Linked DNA regions of Canis lupus familiaris. The protein of the gene in region 1 purifies or fractionates together with the protein of each later gene. This does not show direct contact. Links are inferred from orthologs where the notes say so. Each region holds a gene or a part of one and is shown in the gene's direction. Other genes may lie near its edges. The genes, in order: TEFM and KBTBD7.

Region 1 (2,654 bases):
GGACTGGCAGCAGAATGACTGTTGCCAATTGATGAAAGGAACATACTTATCATCTGTCTATTTACAAAAGGTAAAGCAGCTGCCCCTCTAGATTTCTGCCTGCTAGATATCTCCTTGTGTGGTTTAACCTTCTAGTCCTAAAGGGAATCTAATGTAATACTACAGATAGATTTCCTTTGGGTTATTATTACCCATTCTTTTTTTCTTTTTTTAAATTACCCATTCCTGTCATGTTTTCTGTCACCTATGATTTTTAAAATTTGAATCTTCTTCATTTAGTTCATGAAATACCTTAATATATCAAAGGCAGATACTGAGAAAATTGGTGGTAAAGTACATTATCCTAAATATTACAGGACTTCATCACTCTATTTATAAAGCTTATTTTAAATTTTTTAAAAGATTTTGTTTATTCATTTGAGAGAGAGAATGTGTGTGCAGGAGGAAGGGCAGAGGGAGAGGGAGAAGCAGACTCCCCTGCTGAGTAGGGAGCCCAGCCCGATGTGGAGCTTGATCCCAGGACCCTGAGATCATGACCTGAGCCGAAGGCAAATGCTCAACCAACTGAGCCACCCAGGCACCCCTTATTTTTCATTTAAAAAAATATATATATTTACTTTAGAGAGACAGAGCAAGGTTGGGGGTAGGGAGATAGGGAGAGAATCCTAGAGCAAATGTGGGGCTCAATTCCAGGACCCTGAGATCGTGACCTGAGCTGAAATCAAGAGTTAGACGCTTAGCTGAGTGAGCCACGTAGCTGCCCCAAAGCTTATTTTTCAGAATGCTCACTAATTGTCTTATTGGAGTCTTCAAAACCTTGTGAGATGGGCAGTAATTACCATCCTGATTACATATATGAAAACTGGTATAATCAATCAGGGCATCTGACAGGATTGTAGGCTAGGTATTTTTTTTCTTATGTAGGGTCCACACCCAGCGTGGAACCCAACATAGGGCTTGAACTCACAACCCTGAGGTTAAGACCCAAGCTGAGATCGAGTCAAACATTCAACCCACTGAGCTACCCAGGCACCTCTGATGGAGGCTAGTTATTCTAACCCTATGCTCTACTCTACATATTTTTAAAAGGTTAATAAACATTTTAAATTGTCTAATCTTAAAGTCAGTAGATTTTAGAAATTTTGAAGTCCATTTTACAGATGAAGAAACTAGTACTTGGGAGGACTAAGTGATTTGCCTTAGCTCAGTTTATTCCAGATAGAACCATGAGCAGAACATGGCTGTCCTGACTTCTCCATAAAATTATTTTTCAGTTTTCAAAAACAGTAATAGTATAATGTACATTATGTATTTTAAAAATAGAAATGGGAGAAGGAACCCAAACAACAAAACTTAATTATTTCTATTCACTTATTTTTTTCTTTTTTTTTTTTAAAGATTTCTTCAGTCATTTCAAAGATACCTACAGCTGACTTCTACGTTCTGGAAAAAATAGGGCTTTCAATTCAGAACACATCTCGGTTTCCCCTACTGTTACATTTTCATATCATGGAAGCCATGCTGTATGCCTTATTAAACAAAACGTTTGCCCAGGATGGCCAGCATCGGGTGCTGAGCATGAATCGAAATGGAGTGGGGAAGCACTTTGAACTGATGATTGGGGACACACGGACTAGTGGAAAAGAGCTGGTGAAGCAGCTCCTCACAGAGTCTGTTCTGAAGGAAGACCCTCGGGTCGTCTTCCCTAAGGAGAAGATTGTACGCTACAGACAGATGTTTTCATCTACTGAGCAAAAGAGAGCAGAAGAGTTATATGATTCCCTATTACAAGCCGTTGCCTTCTATGAATTAGCAGTTTTTGACACCGAACCTTAAAATGCTGAGGTTAATATAAAGAACTCTGATGTTATATTAATTTATATTTATTAGCTCTAAAGCCATAAAGCCAACTGTTTTTAACATCCATGTTTATGGAGAAGAAAACATGTTTGTATTTGGATGTTTAAAGTCAGACTTCCAGCTGTTGAATTGTTCACAGAATAAGCCAAGTCAATAAATACCTTAAGAGATTCTGAACCTTTTGGGTTTATGTGTTAAAAGTAAGAGGTCTCCTAAACAGACCAAACAAGAAAGTTATTCCCCCTGAAAAGCTAATTCCATCCTATACTAAAGGATTCGCATCATTAAAGGAGGGAAAATGACTTTTCTGGGTGGAATTCATCATGGGAATAACACTAAATATAATCAGGAACACAATTTATGAAATTCTGTTAATTCTGTAAGTAGTATGTGGTTTGATGTACTACTTCCAAAAGGTGATTTTCATTAATTCTATCAGGCCCAGAACAAACAAGCTTTGTCTAATAGGTTCATTTTTTTCACTTCAAAATATTTTACTTGGACAGACCAACTTTTTTTTTTTTTTTTTTTTTTTAAAGATTAGGGGAGAGAATCCCAACCAGACTCCATGTTAGGCATGGATCCTGACTTGGGGCTTGACCCTAGGACTCTGAAATCACAATCTGAGTCAAAACCAAGAGTCAGGGGCTTAACTGACTACACCATTCAGGCACTCCTAGATAAACCATCTTTTGAGAAGAGTAGCATTTTTTTTCCTAACTCACATTTCCCACTACATTTGAATTAGTTCAGGCCCTCATATCTTACCAGTCTTAAACCCAAGTCTCTAATGT
Region 2 (4,350 bases), on another chromosome or scaffold:
AGTCCCGCGTCGGGCTCCCTGCATGGAGCCTGCTTCTCCCTCTGCCTGTGTCTCTATGTCTATCATGAATAAATAAATAAAATCTTAAAAAAAAAATACTGGATAACCCAGGGGGCTCAGCAGTTTAGCGCTGCCTTTGGCCCAGGGCCTGATCCTGGAGACCCAGGATTGAGTCCTACATTGGGCTTCCTGCATGGAGCCTGCTTCTCTCTGTGTGTGTGTGTCTCATGAATAAATAAAATCTTAAAAAAAAAAACAAAAACAAAAAAAAAAAAACTGGGGCATGCATGAATACAGAGCTCTGAGGTCTGTTTGTTTAAATCTTTTAATCTACAACTCCCGTTTTTATCTCCTTGATAAAGATAACTACATAATCTTAGGCTGATTTGTGGAGAGGAAGGGAAACGAGCAGTATTAGACCAAAACATTCCTGCTAAAAGGTTACGAAAGGGCTTCTGGGTGGCTCAGCCGGTTAGGCGCCTGCCCGGGGTCCTGGGATCCGGCCCTATCAGCAGGGAGCCTGTAATCTCCCTCCCCCTCTGCCTGTCACTCCCCTGCTTGTGCATTCTCTCTCTAATAAGTAAATAAAAATCTTAATTTAAAAAAAAAGAAAAAAAAGCTTATGAAAGTAATCCTGCTCCCCCTGCGTAAATATTGATTTGGTGAGAGGTCAGCCCAGCTATGCATGTGCCTGAGCTGCCTGTTAGAGGCCTGAGCTGTATGTCAGAGGCCTGAGCCGCACGTCGGAGGCCTGAGCCGCACGTCGGAGGCCACCTCTCAACGCTGTTCGCCAGGACCTCATCCTTGTCCACGACACCCTAACGAACCTGTGGATCTCATTTAGTTCTGAAAAGATGGTGGTAGCCTTCAGAAGAACCCTTCAAAAGAAGCAACAGTAAAATTAAGATTCCTCACACAAATCGCTCACGGCTTCGCACGCGGGCACATTTTTAAAAACGCATTGGGAGACGCCACCAGTGGCTGAATCTGTATATTCCAGGCACTTGCAAGCATGTGATTAATCAGCAGGTATTCGCTGAAGCATCCTGGGACCTGCGCAAATCCACCTCGCTCCCACTCTCACATAATCCTATGAAAACTCGTATCCCCCGCTTTACAAAGAGGGGAAAGTTCTCAGAGAGAAGACCAATACCAAAACGGAGATTTTTTTTTTTTTTAAATAAAAAAGAACATCAAAGCCAAAGCTCTAAAACCAACAAACCCAGATTAACGCTTTTTCGAATTCTGTCAGCTAAAAGTCCGCCCGCCCGGAGAAACCTCGCGATATTCCTCGAACTACCACTCCCAGCGTGCACAGCGGCTCCGGCCCGCCCGCCGATCCCCTGGAGTCTGGAGGGGCCCCGGCATGCCTCGGGGCGCGAAAGGCAGCCTGGGAGCCGTAGTTCCGCTGGACGCCTACCGGTATTGCCAGCGCGGCAGTGGCGGCTCTCTCGGTTCCGTCCAGCCGGGTTCTGTAAGGCGAGCTGAGGCGGAGAAAAGGGCGCGGAACTGGAAGCGGGTGAGTCAGGCGCTGGCTACGCGATAAAGGGAGGCGGCACCGCGGCGCGGGGCTGAGTTGGGTAAGTGCGGCCCCTGCAGTCTCTTCAGGGAGAAGGCGAGGAGAGGGCGAGGAGGAGCCCGCGCCCGGTCCGTGCACCCGTTCTCGCCCTCGTACCCCGCCGCCATCTCCACCATGCAGTCCCGGGAAGAGGCTCCGCGCCCCCGCCGCCTGGCCAGTCCCCGCGGCGGCAGGCGGCCCAAGAGGATCTCCAAGCCCTCGGTCTCGGCTTTCTTCACGGGCCCGGAGGAGCTGAAGGACGCGGCTCACTCCGCAGCCCTCCTGGCGCAGCTCAAGTCCTTCTACGACGCGCGGCTGCTGTGCGACGTGACCATCGAGGTGGTGACGCCCGGCAGCGGGCCCGGCACCGGCCGCCTCTTCCCCTGCAACCGGAACGTGCTGGCGGCCGCGTGTCCCTACTTCAAGAGCATGTTCACGGGCGGCATGTACGAGAGCCACCAGGCGAACGTGACCATGCACGACGTGGACGCCGAGTCCTTCGAGGTGCTGGTCGACTACTGCTACACGGGCCGCGTGTCGCTGAGCGAGGCCAACGTGCAGCGCCTGTACGCGGCCTCCGACATGCTGCAGCTCGAGTACGTGCGGGAGGCCTGCGCCTCCTTCCTGGCCCGCCGCCTCGACCTGGCCAACTGCACCGCCATCCTCAAGTTCGCCGACGCCTTCGACCATCATAAGCTGCGATCCCAGGCCCAGTCCTTCATAGCCCACAATTTCAGGCAGCTCAGCCGGATGGGCTCAGTAAGGGAGGAGAGCCTGGCGGATCTGAGCTTGGCCCAGCTGCTGTCCATCCTGCGCCTGGATAGTCTAGACATCGAGAGCGAGCGGACCGTGTGTCACGTGGCCGTGCAGTGGCTGGAGGCGGCTCCCAAGGAGCGCGGACCCAGCGCTGCGGAAGTCTTCAAGTGTGTCCGCTGGACACACTTCAGAGAAGAGGATCAGGATTACCTGGAGGGGCTGCTGACCAAGCCCATTGTGAAAAAGTACTGTCTGGACCTTATCGAGGGGGCCCTGCAGATGCGCTATGGTGACAAGCTGTGCAAGGCTCTGGTGCCCAAACCAGATAGCAGCAGCAGCTGTGTTGTGCCCACAGCAGAAAACCCACCCCAGAGGCTGGGTATGTGTGCCAAGGAGATGGTGATCTTCTTTGGACATCCCCGAGATCCCTTTCTGTGCTACGACCCATACTCAGGGGACATTTACACCATGCCATCCCCTTTAACCAGCTTGGCTCACACCAAGACTGTCACTTCCTCAGCTGTCTGCGTCTCTCCAGACCATGACATCTACCTGGCCGCGCAGCCCAGGAAGGACCTCTGGGTGTACAAGCCAGCCCAGAATAGTTGGCAGCAGCTGGCCGACCGCCTGCTGTGCCGGGAGGGCATGGATGTGGCCTACCTCAATGGCTACATCTACATTTTGGGTGGGCGAGACCCCATTACCGGTGTTAAACTGAAGGAAGTGGAGTGCTACAGTGTCCAGAGAAACCAGTGGGCACTGGTGGCTCCTGTACCCCATTCCTTCTATTCGTTTGAACTAATAGTGGTTCAGAACTATCTTTATGCTGTGAACAGTAAGCGCATGCTCTACTATGACCCGGGCCACAATACATGGCTGAACTGTGCTTCTCTTAAACGTAGTGACTTTCAGGAAGCCTGTGTCTTCAATGATGAGATCTACTGTATCTGCGACATCCCGGTCATGAAGGTCTACAACCCAGCCAGGGGAGAATGGAGGCGGATTAGTAATATCCCCTTGGACTCAGAGACCCACAACTACCAGATTGTCAATCATGGCCAAAAGTTGCTCCTCATTACTTCTACCACCCCTCAGTGGAAAAAAAACCGGGTGACTGTTTATGAATACGATACTAGGGAAGACCAGTGGATTAATATAGGTACCATGTTAGGTCTTTTGCAGTTTGACTCTGGCTTTATTTGCCTCTGTGCTCGTGTTTATCCTTCCTGCCTTGAACCTGGACAGAGTTTTATCACTGAGGAAGATGATGCACGGAGTGAGTCTAGTACTGAATGGGACTTAGATGGATTCAGTGAGCTGGACTCGGAGTCAGGAAGTTCAAGTTCTTTTTCCGATGATGAAGTCTGGGTGCAGGTGGCACCTCAGGGAAATGCACAGGATCATCAGGGTTCTTTGTAAATATTTTGAAGCACTAAGATGTTTCTACTTCTATGGAATGTATCTTTAAAAGATATCCCTTCCTTTTCATGAAAAAAAAAATGTTGATTAGGACTGCAGATTTGGTTTAGAAAGGGTAACATTTGAATTACTAATGTAATGTTACAAAGTTAAACAGTCCATGAAATCAACCTATATGATAATTTATTATGCTAAAAGTCAAGATTAAAATATGCAAAAACAAACTATGTAACTGATTAGAATGCTTGGTGGTTTCTTGGTTGTTCGAGTATTTGTTGCACCAGTGGATTGTTTTGGTTAGTTTACACTGTTTATATTTTGATTATCTACGTTTGTCTTCTGTTAACGTTTTAATTCAACTTAGTGCCACAAGGAATTTAACTTTTTAATTTTTATAGTAGAAAATTGAACTAGAAATTGTTGGTAGGGTTTTGAAGGTTGTATTTTCTTTTAGAATAATGAAAGTAGTAGATTTCCCAAATTTTGAACTAGCCAGTTTCTAGTATTATAAGTTACTATCGTTTCTATCGTTTGTTAAATTTGGTGTGGTTTTCTCCCCTTCTGCAAAGAAAAAAAATTGGTTATATATATATATATATATATATAAATATATACAT

The links.
Region 2: the proteins of TEFM (region 1) and KBTBD7 purify together in Homo sapiens (co-immunoprecipitation; 5 studies listed by BioGRID and IntAct, counting the BioPlex papers as one, with this or other methods). This does not show direct contact. The link is inferred for Canis lupus familiaris from reciprocal best matches to the Homo sapiens genes TEFM and KBTBD7.

The regions. Positions count from the first base shown.
Region 1 is NC_049230.1:40,837,789-40,840,442, forward strand, and holds the end of TEFM (transcription elongation factor, mitochondrial), read left to right. Parts: coding exon 1-70; intron 71-1,398; coding exon 1,399-1,836; 3' UTR 1,837-2,037; downstream 2,038-2,654. UniProt on the Homo sapiens protein: Transcription elongation factor which increases mitochondrial RNA polymerase processivity. Regulates transcription of the mitochondrial genome, including genes important for the oxidative phosphorylation machinery.
Region 2 is NC_049243.1:9,372,588-9,376,937, forward strand, and holds the start of KBTBD7 (kelch repeat and BTB domain-containing protein 7), read left to right. Parts: upstream 1-1,410; 5' UTR 1,411-1,693; coding exon 1,694-3,733; 3' UTR 3,734-4,350. UniProt on the Homo sapiens protein: As part of the CUL3(KBTBD6/7) E3 ubiquitin ligase complex functions as a substrate adapter for the RAC1 guanine exchange factor (GEF) TIAM1, mediating its 'Lys-48' ubiquitination and proteasomal degradation.